Pelodiscus sinensis: one gene and its partners. The main gene of each other region encodes a partner of the protein of the gene in region 2 in a complex. Links are inferred from orthologs where the notes say so. Each region holds a gene or a part of one and is shown on either strand. Other genes may lie near its edges.

Region 1 (7,732 bases), about 75 Mb from region 2:
GGGGAAATTGAAGAGAGGAGGTGAGGAGAAGTAAGCTTGGTGTTTGAAATGAGAATGAAGGGATTCCGATTAAGCTCCTAGCCAAATCACTTTGGGAAGGCTCCAAGCTTAAGCAAAGCTGCATATTCCAAAAGCAAACACCACTGGCCCGGGGTACTTTCATTACAGAAGACCAGGAGAGAGAGAAGAAAGGAAGGAAAGAGAGAGAGAGAGAGAATTACTAGGTTCACAGGAGTTTCATCTCAAACTTGACCATGAAGGTGAATTTACATCAAATAAGCTGGGCCCTAGAAAGACTTAGTGGCTATTGACCGTTTCTGCTGGCTACATCTCCTACTGTCTGCCTCAGAAAGAGCACTGCAAATAATAATCTTCAGCTGTACAGTACTACAATCCGACTGGCTGTGCAGCAGGTTGGCATGCAAACTACAAGAGGTAACCACAAAGAGAAAATTGACATTGACCCAGGACAATGAGTAGGGTATCAGAGACCCCAATGGGGAAATATGTTCTGAAACTTGAAATGGGAGACAAGCAGAGAACAACACTATTACAGTAATAGTAATAGCGGATCAGGTATGTAGAAAGGCCCAGAGTGACACAGGAGGTCTAAGGCAACTTCACAAGTTACAAAGATGTAAGGCATTCATGTTATGGTTACTTACTCAAGCTTTTGTAAGATTTACAAGAGTAGCCAACACAATTTATAGGCAGCAGGTATAAAACAAATATAGAGAAATACTTCACAAAATGCACAGTCAACCTGTGGAGCTCATTGCCAGGGTATGTTGTGAAAGCCAGAACTATAACAGGATTTTAAAAAGAATGAGATAGGTTCATAAGGATAGAATAGGACTATTAGCCAAGATGGTCAGAGATGCTAGCTTCTGTTCTGGATGCTGAGACTGGATGACAGGGGATGGATCACTTGACCGTTGCCTTAATCAGTTCATTCCCTTTGAAGCAACTGGCATCGGCTACTGTTGGTAGACAGGACACTGGGCTAGGTGGAGCTTTGGTCAGACCTAGTATGATCATTCTTATGTTCTTAATTTTAGAACTATTCATATCACTTGCACAGATGCAGCATTGTACCCTTAGAACAGGAACAGAACAATAGATTCTGTTTATGCAGAAAGCAATAAGGCTGCTTCTGACAACCACCACTGAAAGGAGCTGATATTTTCCTCTTTTTTGGGGGGGGAGGCTAATATGGGGTAAGAAGAGTTTGGGACCAGCATATGAGAAATGCCTTGGATTTTCCAATTTCTCACTATAGGTAGTGTTACCACTTTTGACCTAAGAAGCTAGTCACAATTTGGGCCCTACAGGTGTTCCCATTTGGAAGAGAAATCTGCAATGGGTCCAGGTATCTTTAATGCAATCTTGTTTGTTTATAGAGAATGTACAATGTTCTGTTTCCCTGAACACAAGATGAGCCAAACATCAGGAGAGCCTCGCAGTCCTATATTTCTTTTAGCCAGCAACTGGCCCCAAAGCTCTCTCTCTCTAAGCTTTTCCAGGATGACATATTAAGTGCTTGTTCAGGGCATTACTGATTCTGCCTTCTCTCTCAGCTTCTCTGTAGTTTCTTAGAAATCAGATGAGATCAGTGTCAGAGATGCCCGGGTTTTTTTTGGGGGGGGGGAGGGGGGAATTACAAAGCAAAAGGAAAATAAAGAAAAAGCTTGTTGTCTGTACCTATAATTTTCAGACAAGACCCCCAGGACAGCTCACCTCCTTCCAAGCTTTCCTGTCGGCATAGTAGCATCTTCAGTAAAGTGATACAGTGGCCTAGCTGTTCCACTGCCGCACTGTACATGAAGTCAAGACCTAAGACCAGAAAGGACCAATGTGATCATCTAGTCTGACCTCCTACATAACACAAGCTAGAGAACACCGAGATATTATTATGATATGCTTATGGCATAATTATGATGTATTTTATTCAGTATAGGCCATGTGAGGTATCATTGAAAAGGTTATGATTTGCTGAATATGATTATCCTATTTGTTCTGGTATCCTGGAAAAACACCCCAGTCTAGAGGTACCCTAAGTCATATCCATTATCAAGTTTGTGCTCCTCATATGGGTACTTAGGGTACATCTACACAATAGTGTTATTTCAGAATAACTGATGTTATTCCAAAATAACATAGTCCGCATCTAAACTATAATAATGTTGAAATAATGGCGAACTGGAGGACTACTTATGCTGACTCCTGTAACCCTTATTTTATGAGGCATAAAAGAAGTCAGAGGAAGAGTGCTCTGCCTCAGACTTCTTGCTGTGTAGATAGCATCAATAGCCAAAATAAGCTATTTTGGCTTAGGCTACACAATAGACATTGCTGAAGTTGCGTAGCTTATTTCAGATTTAGCCCTGCTGTGTATCATGCCCTATAGACTGAATGAGTCATAAAAACATAGGAACAGCCATCCAGGATCAGACCAAAGGTCCATCTAGCCCAGTATCCTGTCTTCCGAGAGTGGCCAATGCCAGATGCCTCACAGGGAGTGGACAGAACAGGAAATCTTCAAATGATCTCTTTCCTGTCATCCATTTCCAGGCACTTACTGACAAACAGAGGCTAGGGACACCATTCCTACCTATCCTGGCCATTGATGGACCTAACCTCCATGAATTTATCTAGTTCTTTTTTTAACCCTGTTCAAGTCCTGGTCTTCACAAAATCCCCTGGCAAGGAGTTCCACAAGTTGTCTGTGTGCTGCATGAAGAAAAACTTCTTTTTGTTTGTTTTAAACCTGCTACCTATTAATTTCATTTGGGGACCTCTAGTTCTTGCGTTCTGGGAACAAGTAAATAACTTTTCCTTATTCACTTTTTTCCACGCAAGTCATGATTTTACAGACCTCTATCATATCCTCCCTTCGTCTCCTGTTTCTCTAAGCTAAAAAGTCCCAGGCTTTTTAATCTCTCTTCATATGGAACCTATTCCAAACCCCTCATCATTTTTGTTGCCTGTTTCTGAAACTTTTCCACTGCAAATATGCCTTTTTTGAGATGAGGCCACCATATCTGTATACAGTATTCAAGATGCGGGTGTACCATCGTTTTATATAGGCACAATAAGATAAGAGTCTTATTCTCTATCCTTTTTAAATGATTTCTAACATTCTTTTTGCTTTTTGAACTGCTGCTGCTGCCCATTAAGTGGATGTTTTCAGAGGACTCTCCATAATGACTCCAAGATCTCGCTCTTGAGGGGTTATAGTTAAATTAGTACCCATCCTTTTGCATGTATAGTCGAGATTATTTTTCCAGCATGCATTCCTCTACATTTATCAATGTTACCTTTCATGTGCCATTTTGTTGCCCAATCACATAGTTTGGTGAGATCTTTTTGAAGCTGTTCACAGTCTGCTTTGGTCTTAACTATCCTGAGCAGTTTAGTATCATTTGCAAATTTTGCCACTTCACTGTTTACCCCTTTCCCCAGATCATTTATAAATAGGTTGAATAGGATTTGTCCCAGTACGGACCGTTGGGGAACACCGCTAGTTACCTCTCTCCATTCTGAAAACTTTGTATCCTGTCTTTTAAGTAGTAATCAGTCCATGAGAGTACCTTCCCTCTGATCCCATGACAACTTCCGTGACTTAAGAGCCTTTGGTGAGGGACCTTGTCAAAAGCTTTCTAAAATCTAAATCCACTATATCCACTGGTTCCCCCTTGTCCAAAGGTTTGTTGACTCCCCTCAAAGCACTCTTGTAGATTTGTAAGGCGTGATTTTCCTTTACAGAAACCATGTTGACTTTCTCCCAACATCAGTCTGACAATTTAATTCCTGACCATAGCTTCAACTAATTTGCCCGGTACTGATGTTAGACTTACTGGTCTGTAATTACCAGAATCACCTTTAGAGCCCTTTTTAAATATTGGCATCACATTAGCTATCTTCCAGTCATTAGGTACAGAAGCTGATTAAACGACAGATTACCAACCACAGTTAATAGTTCCACAATTTCACATTTGAGTTCTTTTGGAAATCTTGGGTGAATGCCATTTAGTCCGGGTGTATTGCCCCTTAACCATCTCTTTTTTAAGCTACATTGATTGAGCTTTCAGAGTCACTATCAAGCAGGTTTTAAATCCTTTCATCATTCTTGTAGCTCGTCTCTGAACGTTTTCTGATTTATCAACTTCCTTTTCCAATTACTGATAGCATTATTCCAGCAATGGTAGCACTAATGCTCTGGCCAGGGAGTGCTGAGACCCAGCTTCTAGCAAGAGACCCACTCAGCCCTGGCTGCTGCACCCCCTGGCTTGAAGTTATTTCTATCCCACAGGGTTTAGAGCTGGGCTCAATGGCTCACCGCACCTCCTACTCACCCCACTGGTGGTGTTCACATTCCTAGTGTCGACAGCCAGACCAGCTGGCTTGGTGAGCAGCCCAGGGGCCTCAGGGCTGGGGCCACCCCACAGTTGCTCCTGGGCAGGGAGGGGCTGTGCTCCATATACTGAGCTGTGATGTGCCAACTCGGGCACTACAACTCCCATCAGGTAAAGCGAGTCGGTCCCGGATGTGGAATTGACTATAGCGGCGACCATCTTTGTGCGGGGCACCGTGTCCCTTTCTCCCCTGCGGTGGCGGCCATCTTTGTGCAGGGCGCTTCTTCCTCCCGCCCTTCTACATTTTTTTTTTCTTCTGAATCAGCTATCGGCCTGATGGAACGCAGAGGGGCCGGCTCGCCGCGCGCAGGCGCAGTGCGGGGGGGGGGGGCAGCGGCAGCTGTCCGCCGGGCTGCACAATGGGGCCGCTGGTGGCCTGGGCGCTGCGAGCGGCGGCTCTGTCCCAGCTCGTGCTCAGCCAGGGGAGCAGCGCTGCAGGTGAGAGGCTGCGACCGGGAGGGGCGGGGCGCGCTCCCCCACTCTCCTTCCCCCCGGCACTGGGGAGCGGGGTGTGTCTCCCGCCCCCCGAGCCCCGTCCCCCGCTGCAGCCTCCAGCGCCGCCTCTCCCTCGCTCAGCCCCACGTGTGCCGGGCCGAGCCCTCCCCAGCGCCTCTTGCCTCCTGCCCGGCTGGGACCCTGCTCCCGGGCCTGCGCCACCCTAGGCAACGCCGCCTTTGCGGCTGCCCCTGCCTCTTCTGTTTGGCTCAGCCTCCTGCTGGTCACTGCGCCCGCTCGCCCCTCTTCCTCCGAGTGACCCGCCCGCCCTGCGCAGATGCTCTCTGCAGCGGAGCGGCCCCGCGCTACCCCTAGCGTGGGAAACGGATGCAAACTCCCTGCGTCTTGTAGCCTGTTTGTACTTAGCTAGGGGCTGCAGAGATTAGCCCCCGGGCTTGCCTGTCCGGAGCTGGAAGTGGGGTTGGATGCGTGCGGGGCGTACAGCAGGGGCAGGCTGAGGGAGGCGGCCCTAGTGGGGCACTTAGCTTGCCTCAAAGACACCCTTTAGAACAGGGGTGCCCCAGAGAAAGCCTTGTTTGTTGGGCTTAGCATCCCGTGTTTTCCTGCACCTCTCGTATCTGCCTGGTTTTTTTCGTCTTTGAACCAACTTGTCACTAAAGAATGCAAACCAGGGTTTCTAGAAGCAGTTCTTTTGCTGGTGGAATGAGGGGGCTGTGTCTCAGTCTTATTTAATATGCAATATAAAAGGAGGCTATAAGCTCTTTGGGACAGGGACTGTTTACTGAAGGTTGTGTAGCACACATCATTAGAGCTCTCTGTGCTGATACAAAATTTGTATCCGCATCTACATCTGCAAAAATGAGCCACGGATATCCACATTTGTGGATGTGGATACCTGTGGCTATAAAGCGGATAGCTGTGGATTTGCAGGGCTCTCCACACTGTAACTCTATCTCTGGGTCTTTCTGTAATACAAACAAATTTTATATAGAGAACCTCCGCACAGCACCTGATTATTAAAAAAAAACACTTTGTCCACTGCTGAAGGGCAGTTATCTGAAGTGGAGTAAGCCAGTTGTTCAACAGCACACAGTAACGTTAAAGGAGAACTTAGGACAGGAGATGAATGTTACTATAGCTAAATGAAGCTAGAGTGGAACAGAAGTAGGTGAATGTTAAATCACCCAAATTCCCATTTATCTCACACACAGACATAACTCTCTATAAGTATAGGGGATATATCATGGGACAGAAGCTGTCAACCTTTTTCTTGTTAAGGCTCCCCTGAACATGCTATAAAAACTGAGGATGTTAAAATGTATTTATTGAAAATGTCATCTGTTACGCATTCACATGCCGGGGTGGGAGGGAGCTGGCTTTTAAGCTGGCTCACCACACATGCTGACTTTGTGCCTGCCCACCCACCCCCTCTGCAGCATGAGGGTGGGGGGGGGGGGATTGTGTATGATTGTGAAGGTTAATCAATGAGCCCAGGTTCATCAATTAACCATGGACACATTTATACTTTCACATGCCTAATAAAAACTCTAGAGCTTTGGGGCTCTGGGCTGAGGGGCAAGACCCTTGCTCATAGGAATAGTTTTAATTTTTTGGAGAGGGGATAAGGGCTGCTGGTGGTTGGGCCAGCTCTGCACAGGGGAGCCAGGGAAGAAGTGCCACTGAGTTGTGGAAGGAAACAACCAAAATTATAACTCAAAGTGTGTGTGGGGAGAAGGTGGGGGGAGAGAGAAATTCAGCTCAGAAATTTTGAAAACTGCTCAGGGTGCAGGCTGGGGTTAGCTAGGAGCTGTGTACTGGTATGGGGATAGTTAAGGGTGAAGGCAGGGGAATAGGTTTGGCAGAGAGGTAGCTAAGGGTGCAGGCAGAGGTGAGGGCTTCCAATGTAGTTCCCAGTTTAAATGGGGGCAGGAGCGCTGGAGTGGCTAACGTGAGGACGGGGGAGTGGGAGGCTGGTTTCTGCCTTGTGCTGCACCTGTGGGACACTGTAGCACAAGGCACCAGGTTTCAACCTCAGGGTGCTGCGGTCTCCCTGAAAGGGCTCACAGGCTCTGAGTTGAGAACTACTGCCATGGGATCTTACAGGCTGTGAATTGTCAGGAATACTCCTCCTCCCATCCCATCCCCCTAGGGTTGCCAGGTTTCCGGTTTTCTACCAGACAGTCCGGTTTTTGTGCCCTCTGTCTGGTAAAAAAAAATTCAGAAAATACTGGACTGTGCAATGTCTGGTATTTTCTGTTTTTCTGGCTGGGCGCCGGACGGAAGCCTGGCAGGGGCGGGGGGAGTGGCTGGGAGGCGGGGCTGCGATCGGCGCTTGGAGCCTGTGGTCGCGTGCAAAAGCCTGGCGGGGGTGGGGGGAGTGGCTGGGAGTCCTGGCCACTCCCCCAGCCCCCACCAGGATTCTGCACACAACCAGAGGGAGTCCCAGGCTGGGAGGCGGAGCCGTGATCTGGTTGCATGCAGAAGCCTGGTGGGGCACAATTGGTGCTGGGAGCCCTCAGCAGATTGCATCTGGGGAGGAGGAGAAGCCCTGTCCCTGCTCCTGAGCGCTGTTCAATTGCATTGTGGTGCGGGGAGAGAAGCCCTGAGGTGCTTTATAATTGCGTTTAGGCGCCTTCCATGGACTCTCAGCCAAAACTGACTGGGGTGGAATTTCTGCTTCTTCCCATTGGGACACCCAAAGACCTGGCTATGGGGGAGTCATCTTCCTGCCTTGAGGGCGGGGGGCTGGACTCGATGACCTCTCGAGGTCCCTTCCAGTCCTATTATTCTATGATTTATTCTATGATTCCTACCCATGGTCGCTTCCGCCCCCTGCCCTGCCATTGTGTTGCCCCGGGGTC
Region 2 (7,615 bases):
TGCAGTGAGCAGAGCAACAATTGGCCCTGGGGTGGGGGTGCTGTGCAGGCAGGGAGAGCAGCCCTGGGCCCTACCCTGTGGGATAGGGTCTGGGGGTGCAATGCCAGCACATGGTGGGTTGGTGGAGGGGAGGCGTAGCACTCCCTGCTTTCAGTGCCTTCCCTGAGGGACAGCTCCCAGTCTCCTCAGCCAGGGCAGCTCCCCGCAGTGCCCTGCCCTCCCCCACGTGAGGGAAGCTCCCAGAACCACATCCCCCATCCTAGGGCTGCAGCTGGGGACAATGCTGGCTCAGCTTTGCCCAGCCACAAGGGACAAGAGAGCAGCCCAGCTCCCTGGGCTGATCCCACTGAGGCAGAGCTGGGACCCTAGAGCCTCCCAGATCTAGTGTCTGTCACAGGGTTTATTTATTGTAACAATCACTCCCATGTGGCAGCCAGATGCTGCTCTAGGGAATAAGTTAGCCAAGTGTGGAATGGAGGCTGCACCTTAGAATCATAGAATAATAGGACTGGAAGGGACCTCGAGGGGTCATCGAGTCCAGCCCCCCGCCCCCAAGGCAGGACCAAGCTCCGTCTACACCATCCCTGACAGATGTCTATCTAACCTGTTCTTAAATATCTCCAGAGAGGGAGATTCCACCACCTCCCTTGGCAATTTATTCCAATATTTGACCACCCTGACGGTTAGGAATTTTTTCCTAATGTCCAATCTAAACCTCCCCTGCTGCACTTTAAGCCCATTACTCCTTGTCCTGTCCTCAGAAACCAAGAGGAACAAAATTTTCTCCTTCCTCCTTGTGACACCCTTTTAGATATTTGAAAACCGCTATCATGTCCCCCCTTAATCTTCTTTTTTCCAAACTAAACAAGACCAGTTCATGAAGCCTGGCTTCATAGGTCATGTTCTTTAAACCTTTAATCATTTTTGTCGCTCTTCTCTGTACCCTTTCCAATTTCTCCACATCTTTCTTGAAATGTGGCGCCCAGAACTGGACACAATACTCCAGCTGAGGCCTAACTAGTGCAGAGTAGAGCGGCAGAATGACTTCACGAGTTTTGCTTACAACACACCTGTTGACACAACCTAGAATCATATTTGCTTTTTTTGCAACAGCATCACACTGTTGACTCATATTCAACTTGTGGTCCACTATGACCCCTAGATCCCTTTCCGCCATGCTCCTTCCTAGACAGTCGCTTCCCATCTTGTATGTATGGAACTGATTGTTCCTTCCTAAGTGGAGCACTTTGCATTTCTCTTTATTAAACCCCATCCTGTTTACCTCTGACCATTTCTCTAACTTGCTAAGGTCATTTTGAATTATGTCCCTATCCTCCAAAGAAGTTGCAACCCCACCCAGTTTGGTATCATCTGCAAACTTAATAAGCATACTCTCTATCCCAATATCTACATCATTGATGAAGATATTGAACAGTACGGGTCCCAAAACAGACCCTTGCGGAACTCCACTTGTTATCCCTTTCCAGCAGGATTTAGCACCGTTAACAACTCTCTGACTACGGTTATCCAGCCAATTATGCACCCACCTTATCGTGGCCCTATCTAAGTTATATTTGCGAGGGAGGGAGTTGGGCAGGCTGGCTAGGACCTAGCCGACTGGCACCTGGATGACACACTCCAGTGGTTCCAGTGCTCTCAGCAGGTGAGAGTGCACTGTGTGCGCAGACAGTGTGAGGTGGTGGTGGAGCAGCGGGTCCTTCATGGACAAGATGGCTGCCAGGTCTGCTTTTGCCCCACTCCTGCACCAGGCCAACCTGAGTGGCGTCTACCATCGCAATGACATTTATTAGCATTTATTAATGCTGGTAACTGATAATAAACTGATAATAAATAATGCAACTCAGTGATGTATTTCTGAATCTTGACATAGTAGACTGTAAAAAAAACAATCATTCTACGAGGTGAACAATGTCCTACCATATATTAATTAGTTGATTCTGAAGCCTAGTGATGACAATTTTACTTCTGAGCATTTTGACAGAAACATTCAACTGCTCTGGGATGGTGGGTAAAGCTGGGGATAGAAGATGGAGCTTGAGCAGAGTAGTCCCAAAATGTTTCCTCTCCAACATAATTCCCAATGGAAAATGAACAGTCTTCCATTTGGAGGTATCTCTGCCAGGCAGTGCCCAGCCACACTGATAGGAGGGGGGTTTGGAAGTTTACTCCACTCATACTTGTACTAGAGTATTTCTGTTCCTAGATTACCAGCCACCAAATTATCATTAACATATATATATTTAAAAACATAAAAGGGATTACTGTAGATGGCTTCCATGATAATTACGTCTGTATACGTATTTACTATAGTACACACAGTGCAATGTCTTTTTCTTATGCTCATATCAAGTTTCATCCTTTCATTTTGTTGAATACCGATATTTTTAATTTTTTGCAATTGCTTTCTTACTTCACTTGTCCTCATTAACTTACTGAAGGGAAGAGAATCTAAGGGCACCACCATTCTATAGCTAAAAAGGTATACGGAAATCTTCGTAGAATTGTATTTTTTTTATTGTTGATCAAGTCTTGGTGGGGAGGGGGGAAGGGTGTCACTCTGTGGATTGACTGAGCTCTATGATTACTAGTGCCCTTTGGTTCCCTGGGAGCGGATTCTGGTGCACATATTGAGATAACTTATTCATCTATGAGCCTAGCAGGAATTTTTCCCAATTGATACAGTAAGAGCATGAACACAATTGCCACCCAAAACAACGAGCTCATTAGAACACCTGAACAGACTTAGACACATTCATTAGGAATCGTTCTGTACAGCCATTGCTGTGGATGATCCAACACGCCTCAAGAATCATGTGATTAACAAAGCAATAAATAATGATCATTACAGCAGTTTCCTGAGACATACCTGTAGCCAGAAAAAGAGGTAGCAATAGCATAAAGCAGAGAAGCAAAACCACGTAGTTACTGGAAGCCATGATGAAACAGAAATGCCAGTGTCCCAATATCTTGCAGCCCTTGCTGAAATGTCAACATGGTGAAAGCTCTCTATTTCAAAGGCTTTGACCTGGAGGAGGAGTTGGGTAGTCATTAAACACAGAGAGCTAAACCCCATGCAAATAATTCTATTCGTGCAGAAACGTACCAACTAATCCCCTACATGGTCTTAAAAAACAGGCAAAAATCTTAGTTGAGAAGAATTCCCATTCATAGTGCCCAAAGGCTATACTGAACATTATGAATGTTGTAGTGTGTTCTTACTAACAGCACAGCATACTATTAAATGTGGACTATGAGTGCCAAATTACAGCCTGGATAGCATGCCATTACATTTTGTATGTCGCCACCCCCAATTCACAGATGAATCAGAACTCCAAGATTAGGTGATGGGGGGGAGGGAGGGTCAAGGTAAAGATCTGGAGTATCTTTGAAGGGGATCACATTATTGAGGTTTTCAAATGTATCATGTTGCTTTCCTTTGTGGTCCCCAGTGGGAACCCTGAACCACTGTCTGATTTTATATTGCGACACCAATTAACAAACAAGGAATACCAGGTTCCGCTTTGGACTCATTTTGCTGCAGTGAAGGAGCTGTGTACTTTATCACCATGGACTTCTACACAAAGGGCTTGCAGTGTATTGGAAAGAAAAGAATGGAGCAAAATTTCATTTAATTAATAATTGTAGTAGTTTGACCAAATTGACAGCTAAAGTTATATCTGGAATATAAGCATTCCTATGTATTCATGTCTATCAAGGGCTAATTGTATCAGAACACATAATTTACAACATTCTTAAGCAAAGATTTGACTAATATCAGCAAGGTTAGATGCAATGATTTATCAATGGGGATTGGAGCATTCCATAGGGCCTGGGGTATTTTCCAGTCAATTCTTCACTTCATTAGGTTAAAAGAAAGCAGCTGCTTTGTGCACATCAGAACAATGAAGGGAAGCACAATTTTTATACTATTGCCAGGCTTCATCATCATCATCTCCTCCCTGCTGAAGTCATAAGTGACTATCAAAGAATCAGTCTCTGTCACCTGAGAAATCAAAGAGTCCTGCCCATCTAGATGTATTATTTACACGGTTCTTGTAACTCACACTTTATGTGCGGTGATGTACATCCTTTTTGGACATCTGGTTTACAATATGGAAAAACTGACCTTTTGGGGCATCTTTTATTTATTGGACTCTGGCTAATTCCCAGAAAACTCATTTCCTGGAATTTTCAGAGGCTAATGGTGGGAACTGTTACAGGAAAGAGGGAAGGAGTATGACTGCTGGAGAACACAAGACACTATAACAATGAATGAGTCTCAAAATATTCCGCGCCTCTGCTATTGGAAATCCCCATTTGTACCTTGGCTTATCCTCACCTAACCCTAAACCCACCCCCACCTTGCCCTCTCCTTTAGCTTGGAGCTAGCTGGGGGATGGGGGACTGTGATAGGCATTCAGAGGAAAAACCACCTGGAGAAGTGATGATCTGCAGAGAAATGAGGCTACTGGCAGAAGCAAGGCAAGTGAAGAGTAGGAAATGGGGTGGGAAGCTCTGCTACTCAGCAGGGAGGTTTCTGGGGGATCTTGGGGTGAATAGACAAGGTGGGAGGGGTCCTGTATTCAAGGAAAGAGACAAGGGGATGAGGGGAGGAGGACAAACTGGGAAGGAAATCTGTCTCCACTGACCATGGGGAAGGGGATAGGAGCAGAGACTGCAACTATGGCTACATCAAGACGACACGCCTTTTTCGAAAGAGGCTTTTTTGAAAGATACTTTTGAAAAAGCCTCTTTCGAAAAAGAGCATCTAGACTACAACCAGTACTTTCAAAAAAGCAAGCCGCAGTCTGGATGCTCTCTTTCAAAAAAGCACAGTTTGCATTACATAGTGCCTATTTTGAAAGAACACTTTCAAAAAAAGGCATTATTCCTTGTAAAACGAGGTTTTTTGCAGTCCACAAAACTGCTGTGTTTTGATTTACTGTTGACAGAACGTGGCAGCAGTCTAGACACAGGTAAAGTTTTTTCAAAAAATTCCTAGACACACCCATACATTTTTTGTTTGCAGCTCTGAGTGAGGAACAGCAAGACAATACTGTAGCTTTTCAAAGAGTTCAGATAAGAATATATTTGTCAGAGCCACACTGCAATTTTTCTTATCTTATCTTCTTAGAACAGAAAAGCCACTGTCCTGTCTGAGGGAGTCTCTTCCTGTTATGCAAGTGAGAGCATAGGGCCACGTGTCTGACATTTCTTTATCTACCACCACATTCAGTGGCTTTTTTTTTAAACTTCTTTGACTCACCCTATACAAGGGATGGCACTTACACACACACAAAAAAACCCTTTGGATAAGAATTTATTACTATGTCTGGAGCGCTTGCTTGGTGCCACGTTTAGTCTTGTTCCTAAATCTCCGTAAGGGGCCAGCTGGAAGAAAAGACAGATGTTTGGATACATGGCAGACGCCTAACACTTTTACTTTTAAAAAAACCTAGCTTCAGCAACAAGCATTTCCATGTACTTGTGTTCTAAGACTATGGATTTCCATCTACTTTATTTGACTTCTAAATCAGATTTTGTTCCCAAACCCTCCTAATTACATCAATCATACAATGGTATTACACTGCTGTTGTACATTCTGTGTGATTCATATGACATTTTACATTTCCGCCCTCTCATTTTATTGGTATCTCAAACCTGTGAGGTTCTGATTTAACAGTTTGTTTGTGATTGCAATACAAATATTATGGAAGGGAAGCCCCAGGAGTGAGAATCTAGGAAATATACGAGTCATGTAGTGAAACACTTCATTCAAAGAAATACTGGTGTAATTAGGCTGAGGGGTGATGACACTGGTAGGCATCACTAGAAGAGCAAGTATTAAAAAGAGCACCAATGAAGTTTCCCATGGGACTTTCCTCCTAATTAGCTTCAGAGTCACAGACTCCTTTCCTAAGTTGTTGCCTAGCCAGCCCTGGCAACAAAGCCAGCCCTGGCAACTTACCTTGAAGAGCTGCATTACTTACAGTATAAATTATTTTCCCTCTTTTTAGGACCTGGGCCAGCAGCATCCAAACCAACCCCTCTGCGTTTTCTGTTTCAGAGAATTCCTAATCCCAAGTGTTCACCCCTCTTTTTAGTGACTAAGTGCATCTAGACCTAAAAGCATGTCCACATTGAGTGGACCCTGAACCGAGGTTAAGGATGGCCGGAAGCAGTGCCGGCAGGGCATCAGATTAGGACTTAGAGTGTGGAGCTGCTGTCTCAGGCTAGCCGAGGGCTGTGCTTAAAGGTCCCGACCCCCACCCAGGACAGACAGTTCTCAGGGGTTCCCCGCTTGCAAAGCAGTCCTGGCTTGGAGTGCCCTGAGTGCCCACACACGGCACATCACAGCACTCAGCCATCAGCCTGGCTGCACTTGCCGCAGGCTGCCATCCGGGAGGGGTCAATCGGGGGGCTGCAGGAGAGTTTCCACCCCGAGGAGCCCACAGAGCCACCCCAGTCCTCCTCATCGGGGGCTCGTACCCCATTCCTCCCTCACCTCCTTCCACTTAACTATCCCTAGCCCCCCTTCCTGATGTACAAATTAAAGGACACGTGTGGTCAAAAGTAGAAACTCTCTTTATTGAACAAAACTGGGGGAGACTGGGAAAAGGAGGTGGGAGAGGGGAAGAGAGAGGCTGGGAGAGGGGAGGGCAACCAAAATGATCAGGGGTTTGGAACAGGTCCCATATGAAGAGAAGCTAAAGAGACTGGTACTTCTCAGCTTAGAAAAGAGGAGACTGAGGGGGGATATGATAGAGGTCTGTAAAAGCATGAGTGGTGTGGAGAGGGTGCATCAAGAAAAGTTCTTCATTAGTTCCCATAATAGAAGGACTAGAGGACACCAAATGAAATGAATGGGTAGCAGGCTTCAAACTAATAACAGAAAGTTCTTCTTCACAAAGCAAATAGTCAACCTGTGGAACTCCTTGCTGCAGGAGGCTCTGAAGGCTAGAACTATAATAGAGTTTAAAGAGAAGTTAGATAAAGTCATGGAGGTTGGCTCCATGTAGTGGTATTAGCCAGGGGGTAGAAATGGTGTCCCTGGCCTCTGTTTGTGGAAGGCTGGAGATGGATGGCACGAGACAAATGGCTTGGTCATTGTCTTCGGTCCATCCCCTCCAGGGTACCTAGTGTTGGCCACTGTTGGCAAACAGGCTACTGGGCTAGATGGACCTTTGTTCTGACCCAGTACGGCCGTTCTAAGCTCAGGGCTCAGGGTCGGGGGTCTCACTGGACCACCCTGATTTTCATGCAAACCTGCTCCTGGGTGGCCAGGCTGGCAGCTATCCTGCCCTAGATGGCCACTTTCCTGTGCCTAGTGCGGATGTCGTGGATGAGGTCCACGATGTCCGCACTAGACCAGGTGGGCGCCCGCCTCTTGCGGACCCGGGCAGGCTGGGTGGGACCCGGGCAGGAAGAGGCGGAGGGCTGGGTGGCAGCGGATGGCTTGTTCGTGCCGTGCCAGGTGCAAGGTCACCGTAGCCAGCCCATGCCCCTTTAAGGGCTCCGGGGCCGGGAGGGGGGCAGAAGAGTTTCCCTGGTGGTGCCCAGAGTGGCCACCAGGGCAAGCTGGGGAGGGCTAGCC
Region 3 (6,978 bases), on a different chromosome or scaffold from region 2:
GAATCTAAACCATTGGAATGACCCAGTGTCAGCATTCTTATGTTCTTACTTTTAATTCTTTATAGAAAAACTGTAAGGAAATAAAAATGAAAATAAAATTCTAGAGCATAAAAGCTTTACATAAATGGCTCTTCTCTGTAACCAAAGGGGAAAGATTTCTCCATATAAAGCTCTCTTTAAATGAAGAAACACAGACTGCAGAATTCACAAGGTCATTATCTTGTCATCAAAATATTTACTGCAGAAGACAATCTAATCCCACATATAAAATAAGATTGTTATATAAAGAATGAAAACTTTCTGCTGGAAAAGTGCAGCTGCATAACGGCATACAATACTGAAATTTAATCTAAAGCAGTGAAGAAAAATTAGAAATTGTGTGGCATATACTGAACCATGATGCAACAAAGGGTTGAATTTAGCTTGGCCTTAAATATTATTTTTAAATGACAAAACAGAACTGACGCTTTAAAAGATTTAATGTGCTGAGCCTGCCAGTAAATGGCAATTAAAACTAATGTGTTTTGTAAACATACAGATACTGACCTGCCCATTCTTCTTGCCATCCTTTTTTCTCCCCTCTTTCTCCTACAGACTCCAAGCACTGGACTTTGTCAAATTCAACTTTGATTCCAGAGGAACAGTCAGCTTCATGCCACAACATATACATGCACATACCCCCTCTCATTTTATAGCTTTTTCTATACATAGCGTTGCTGCTATTTGACATTTAGTTGGCACTTTTCAGATCACCAAATATATACAATAGTGAAATACCACAGGCTAAAAGGTCATGCAGACTATTGGAAGGTGGCATGCAGGGAGGAAAGTGCAACAGGGTGTCTAGTAATCACATGCAGCCTAAAGAATTTCTGATTTTTTTAAGTGAGACTAAGAAGTCCTAATAAAGAAAGAGATGGAGAGAAAAGAAGTCAGGGCAATGCAGTGGGGAGATGGATGGGCTTGTGGTTAGGGCTCTAGATGGGGATTCAGAAGATTTTGGTAAAAAGGCTACAGACTTCTTACATAGTTTTGTGCTAGTTACTTATCTTCTCAGCACCTCACCTTTAAAACTGCTATAATATGTTCTTTCTTTACAATGTTATTATTATGACAATAACTCCAGAAACACTTGAGACGTATTCAAATACTATGGTGACGAATGATCCATGTCACATTATCATCACAGGAATGCAAGAGAGTATGCACAGAAACAGGGATGCTGAACCAATTTGCTAGCGGGAATGCTGAGAGCCTCTGAACCAAACCATGAACTCTTCAGATAATGGAACCCCCATTCAAGGCAGAGGGTAGGTGCAGAAGCATTTCCAGAACCCTTAGTTCCAGAACTTACGCACAGACATTCACCTTCAAAAGTTACACATTTCTAATTTGCTGAACAAAAAACAATTCCTCTAGTTTTGCTGATAATTTATTTGGGCAAGAAATTATTTCCAATAGATGGCATTGGTACACACTAACAAATTAGGGATGTTAAAATTAGATTAATCAACTAATCAAATAGTCAATAGAATTTCCATTGACTATTTGATTAGTCGATAAGGGTACTTCCGCTTTGAAATGTAGCAGGAGTCTGCACAGCTGTTGCTACATTTCAAATGTGGAAATGCTGCAGGGAGTTCTGCCTTTGAAATATACAAGAACCCATGGGGGGGGACTCTTGTACATTTCAAAGGTGGAACGCCACTGCTGCATCCCTGCCCCCTCCCATGGAGCTGGAACTGGGGGGAACCTGCTTTTAAGCCAGCTCCCTCCAGAGGCCTCTCCTGTTCCCTCCCCTTGCTGCCTCTTTCTGATAGAGGCAGCAAGGGGGGTGGGAAGTGACTAGTTGACTAGTGTGTCAACTATCCAATAAGCTTTTGCTTATCGGATAGTCAACTAGTCGCTAACAGCCTCTCCCCCAGTTACGAACGAGTTACGGACCGAACACTTGGCCATAACTCGATTTGTTTGTAACTTGGACCCCATTGAGTTACATAGCAACCGCACTGTTCGTAAGCGCGTGTTGCGTTCGTAACTCAGGGACCGCCTTTACAACCGCTCTATGGGAGCTTTGGTCATAAATGTGAACTGTCGTAACTCAACCGTTCGCAACTCAGGGACCGTCTGTACATCCCTATAATGAATTCATTCCAAGTTGTGCACAGCCACAGAATAATGTCATGCAAACCATTTTCTCCAGTTTCATTTTAATGCAGTTTATACTTTCTGCATGTTTGAGTCTGGGGTTTGAATGGACCAAAAATCACAAAAACAGTGAGTAGACCTGTGGCACTTTAGAAACTAACAAAAACATATAGTATCATGAGTTTTCATGGTCAAGATCCACTTCATCAGATGCTCACGTTTTGTTAGTCTCTAAGATGCCACAGGGCTATTATTTTTTTATAGTTACAAACATGGTTTGTAACTCTAATCACAAGAGGATATAAGAAAGAGGAGCAGATCTTTATACAGATATGAGCTACAGGATATATGACAGAGATCGTCAAACTGTGGCTTTGCAGCAACATGCAGCTCTTTTACTGTTAAAACGCAGCTCCTGGAGATCTTTCCCTGCCCCCCTTCACCGACCAGACTGGTTTGGTAGAGTGGGGGCTTTTGCCCATTGCCATGGGGAGAGGGTCCACAGCCCTGAGCCCTAGCAGGTGTGCCCTGCCTCACTATTATATGCAGCTCCCAGGGTCAGTAAGTTTGGCCACTCCAAAATATAACAAGAAAGATATTTCTACCACCTTGGAATCCAGGTACTAACTAGAAGAAAGAAAAAGTTAAAAAAACAAGGAATAGTCTTGCAGCACCATATAAGGGTATGTCTACACTTGCACCCTCTTTTGAGAGAGGGATGCAAATGAAGACATTTGAAATTGCAAATGAAGCCGGGATTTAAATATCCTGCACTTCATTTGCATAGTCGCGTTATGGCGCTATTTCAAAATAGCGCTATTTCGAAATAACAGACGCTGTTAAGACGCGGTTACTTTGAGAGAAAACCCTTCTCTCGAAATAACCCTTATTCCTCATACAGTGAGGTTTACCAATTATTTCAAGAGAAGGATTTTCTCTTGAAGTAACTGCGTCTGTTATTTTGAAATAGCGCTATTTCGAAATAGCGCCATAACGCAATTATGCAAATGAAGTGTGGGATATTTAAATCCTGGCTTCATTTGCAATTTCGAATGTCTTCATTTGCATCCCTCTATTGAAAGAGAGTGCAAGTGTAGACAAACCCTTAGGCTATGTCTAGACTGCAAGCCTCTTTCGAAAGAGGCTTTTTTGAAAGTATCTTTCAAAATAGCCTCTTTCAAAAAAGAACATCTAGACAACAAGCTTTTTCGAAAAAGCGGCTCACTTTTTTGAAAGAGAGTCTAGATGCTCTCTTTCGAAAAAGCGCTGTTTTAATGCAATAGCGCCCGAAAGATGACTTGCAGTAGTCTAGATGCAGGTACAGTTTTTTTTTTAACTTTTTTCCAAAAAAACCTGTAGTTTAGAGATCTTAGAGACTAATAAAACATGTAGGTGGTATCATGAGATTTCGTGGGCACAACCCACTTCTTCAGATGAACTCTTTCTTTAGAAGAAAGAAGACTGCAAAAACAGGCCTCTTCAAATTAACTCTTTTCTCCCCCTGCCCTTTTCTTTGAGGCCGCAAACACTATCTCTGCCCTCTCCCCCCACCCCATAGGATGGGCGCAGGAGCTAAACCACGATGACTGTGCCCCTCTCTAGAACGAAGGTGCTTGGGCGAAGAGGGGTCACCGAAGCGCGGGCTACAGGTTCCCCTGCGAGCCCAGCCTTGCTGAGGACCGAGCCCTCTGCTTGAGGCAGGCAGCTGGCCGGTCTAGAGCAGGGGAAGAGGCTGCGCAGCAGCTCCCCGGAAGGCGCCCTCTTCCGCCAGGCGAGGGAGAAGGGAAGAGCGGGGCAGGGGAGGAGTGTCCCTTCTCCCCCGCCAGGAGCCGGGCTTTTCACTTCTCTGCCGGTGAATAGGCAAAAAGTGAAACCGCTCCGGCCCCGCTCGCTCGCTCGTTCTGTTCCCCGGCACCTGGCCGAGGGGAGCGGCGGGGAGCTCCGCACCTCGGCGCGGGACTGAATCACCGCCAGTGACTCAGCCCCAGCCCTCCCCGTCTGCGCCACCCGGCTATAAAGAGCGTCAGTCCCGCCTCCCTGACAAACTTCGCTCGGACAGCGGCAGCGACCGTCCCCTGCAGGCACCTGGACTCGACGCGACGCGAGGGATGGCGAGCGCTTCGGACGCCTTATTCGCAGCCTGGGGCCGGGCGCTGCTCCTGGCCGCGCTGCTCTCCCGGCTGGGTCCCTGCGCAGGTGAGTGTCGCTGCCCAGCGCCGCCCGGTGCCTTCGCCCTCCCTGCCGGGCCAGCAGCTCAGCTGATGCGGCTCGCTCCCCGAGCCCGGGGGCAGTGCCCAGCGGGGCGCCCCGCGGGCCAGTCTGCCCCGCCGCGGAGGGGAGCGGTACAGAGACTTCTGGGGCGCGCCGCTTCCGCGGGGATGCTGTTGGGGTAAAGCCTGGGGGCAATGTCCGGCCCGAGCGCGGGCAGGCGGACGGAGAAACGAGGCTGTAGGAGGGGTTTCGAGGATAAAAGGCAACATCCAGGAGCCCTCCCTGGGAGCTGCACCTGGGCGCAAGAGCCGTGGCTGGCTTGAGGGCCATAACCCCGCGGCCGAAGGGGCGAGACTGGTGCCATCGGTGTGTCAGAATTCCCAGCGCCACCGGGGCTGGCACGTTTGGCTGGACTTGGGAGCTGTAGAGGTGGGGTCGTGCCGCAAATGGAGCCCGTGGCTCCAGGAAGTACCTATGGAATGAACAGGGCTCTGCTGAAACTTAGACTGACGACAGCAGAGCCCATGAGAGCACCAGGGGGGTTTGCCCATTTCCCTTTCTAGGGAAAGTTACATATTTTGCGCCTCTTTTTCTACAGTTCTAGATTCAAAATTAAGTTTCAGCGTTATAGTTGTTTATGGGTAGGTTGGAGACTGATCTTTTATGTTACTAAATGGTAAAGCGAAGGAGAGAAGGCAGGTAATACATTTATTAAGAATGATGTGCTGTTAGCACCAACATTTTACTGGAATTATTTGGAGTCTCGTTTCAATATCTCCACCTTGGACTGCTCTGATTTTTATATATATATATATATATTTTTTAAAAGCATATCAAATGAGTTATATACTTACAGAAGCAAGTGATATTCATACAAGGAAACAGATTATAAAAATTTTAAAACAATTATTTCCATTTTAATATAGTTGTGTGAGGAACGTATGACCTTTTAATGCACTACTCCCTGTGCTTTGACTAGTGTTGTAGGATTTTTCACATACTTCTAGTTCTTTAAACTGAATTTAGACTTCATTAAATTTATGATTGGAAATGTTGAAAATTAATACTAAAGTGTACAATATACATGCACTTTTTCGCTTTTATAAAACGAAATTTTGCAGTTATTTGGTGCACAGTTTACTTGTCTGTGTGCTTTTTAAAATAAGAAAAAAGTAAGTCAGATCTGCAATTGCTATGGTTGAGAATTCATCTGAATAAGAATCAGGAAACTCAGTTATTGGATTCTATACTATAAATTATTTTTACCTATACTGTATGTAATATATATGAATGGCAAATATGATGCAAAATCTCACATTTCTTTCAAGTCTTTACATGCTCATTATAAAATATGTGTGTTGGCTTAAACTGTAGTAAAACAACAGAAGCAAGCAAAATTCTGAACAGTTCCTAGATGCATCCAGTGGTCTTTCTGCACATTTGGGGCCAACTATGCTGTACTGCAAAAGATTTAGATCATCAAGTGGGAGGAGAGGAACTTTCTTCCCACATTTGCCAATAAAAAAAAGAATTTTCCATAGCAGAAGTAAAATGAATATGATGTCTGTGATTTTTTTTCTCCCCACAAACCATTATAAATAAAAATTTTACTTCTGCTAAATAGGGAATGTAATAAATCTAGAGCTCTATATAATGTGACTCATCACAACTTTTTTTTCCTGTCTTTAAAGGTAATTCAGAACTGCCAACAGCAGTTAATATAACTTGGTCATCAATCAATTTCAAAACAATACTACAGTGGCAACCCAAGCCAACTAACTATGTCTATACAGTAGAAATATCTGGGTAAGTAGATAAAATTATAAGTATGAGTGCCTGTACCCCTGCCCTTCTGTCCACTGGATTATAATGAATGGCAATTTTAAACAGACATTTGAGATCAAGACAGAAAAAGTATAGTCATGCTGGCAGAATGATTGAATATCTTGAATCTATTAATGTAATGCACAGAGTCCAAACATGGGAACTTTTAGGAAAGTTATGATCCCTATTTTGGGTTTTGGTTGCTTCCAAATGTATGTGTACCTGATTCCAGTCTCTGAGTCTGCTCATTGTAGAAATGAAATGTATGGATCAGATGCTGGCTCTGGGGTTTCAATACAGGCCACCTGGTACTGGAAAATTTGGCCAAAAATATTTTGCACCGGTTTAGAGCCCTTCATGAAGACTACATTTAAAAAAAATCATAGGTTTCATCTGTTAAAACAGGGGTTCTCAAACTTGTGATACCACTGCTGCATGATACCACCCTCTCAGTTGCTTGCGACCTCCCTCTAAGTTGCTTGCGACCCTCCAGAGGGTTGGGACCCACAGTTTGAGAAACACTGTGTTAAAACAATTCCCTCATTTTAATGCTGAGAGAAAGTAGTTGCAGACATCTCATAGATATGACTAATTTTATTCTAATTTAATGATTAATGCATTAGTTAAGTAGCTCAGTGCTATTTAGCCTTGCTGGGTAACTTTAAAAAATAATCTCTCCATCTAACTGCCTAAGCTTACTTCAGTTCATGGATTATAGAATTAATAAATGGTCTGGTAGCATTTGACTGGTAAAAACTCCAGTCATCTGAAGAAGTGGGCTGTGCCCACGAAAGC

Evidence for each region.
Region 1: the proteins of F7 (region 2) and POGLUT1 are in contact, whole or in part, in a crystal structure (PDB 5L0S), measured with the Homo sapiens proteins. The link is inferred for Pelodiscus sinensis from reciprocal best matches to the Homo sapiens genes F7 and POGLUT1. Residues at the interface, in NP_000122.1 of Homo sapiens: Asp108, Gln109, Cys110, Ala111, Ser112, Ser113, Pro114, Cys115, Gln116, Asn117, Gly118, Gly119, Cys121, Gln126, Ser127, Tyr128, Arg139, Asn140; in NP_689518.1 of Homo sapiens: Met103, Phe104, Pro105, Ser106, Arg107, Arg132, Asp133, Pro171, Ala172, Trp174, Pro178, Thr179, Thr214, Asn239, Gln240, Ala241, Val274.
Region 3: the proteins of F7 (region 2) and F3 are in contact, whole or in part, in a crystal structure (PDB 6R2W), measured with the Homo sapiens proteins. The link is inferred for Pelodiscus sinensis from reciprocal best matches to the Homo sapiens genes F7 and F3. Residues at the interface, in NP_000122.1 of Homo sapiens: Leu73, Lys78, Phe91, Arg96, Leu99, Phe100, Ser103, Ser120, Lys122, Gln124, Leu125, Ile129, Cys130, Phe131, Cys132, Leu133, Pro134, Phe136, Glu137, Gly138, Arg139, Lys145, Gln148, Ile150, Val152, Asn153, Glu154; in NP_001984.1 of Homo sapiens: Thr49, Asn50, Lys52, Ile54, Glu56, Trp77, Lys78, Ser79, Lys80, Phe82, Tyr83, Glu88, Asp90, Asp93, Gly141, Gln142, Thr144, Glu162, Arg163, Thr164, Leu165, Arg167, Phe172, Tyr188, Trp190, Lys191, Ser192, Ser194, Ser195, Gly196.

The regions. Positions count from the first base shown.
Region 1 is NC_134711.1:163,011,467-163,019,198, reverse strand, and holds the start of POGLUT1 (protein O-glucosyltransferase 1), read left to right. Parts: upstream 1-4,669; 5' UTR 4,670-4,774; coding exon 4,775-4,853; intron 4,854-7,732. UniProt on the Homo sapiens protein: Dual specificity glycosyltransferase that catalyzes the transfer of glucose and xylose from UDP-glucose and UDP-xylose, respectively, to a serine residue found in the consensus sequence of C-X-S-X-P-C.
Region 2 is NC_134711.1:237,607,483-237,615,097, forward strand, and holds the start of F7 (coagulation factor VII), read right to left. Parts: upstream 3,047-7,615; 5' UTR 2,958-3,046; coding exon 2,888-2,957; intron 1-2,887. UniProt on the Homo sapiens protein: Initiates the extrinsic pathway of blood coagulation. Serine protease that circulates in the blood in a zymogen form. Factor VII is converted to factor VIIa by factor Xa, factor XIIa, factor IXa, or thrombin by minor proteolysis.
Region 3 is NC_134719.1:35,724,819-35,731,796, reverse strand, and holds the start of F3 (tissue factor), read left to right. Parts: upstream 1-3,918; 5' UTR 3,919-4,256; coding exon 4,257-4,344; intron 4,345-6,050; coding exon 6,051-6,165; intron 6,166-6,978. UniProt on the Homo sapiens protein: Initiates blood coagulation by forming a complex with circulating factor VII or VIIa. The [TF:VIIa] complex activates factors IX or X by specific limited proteolysis.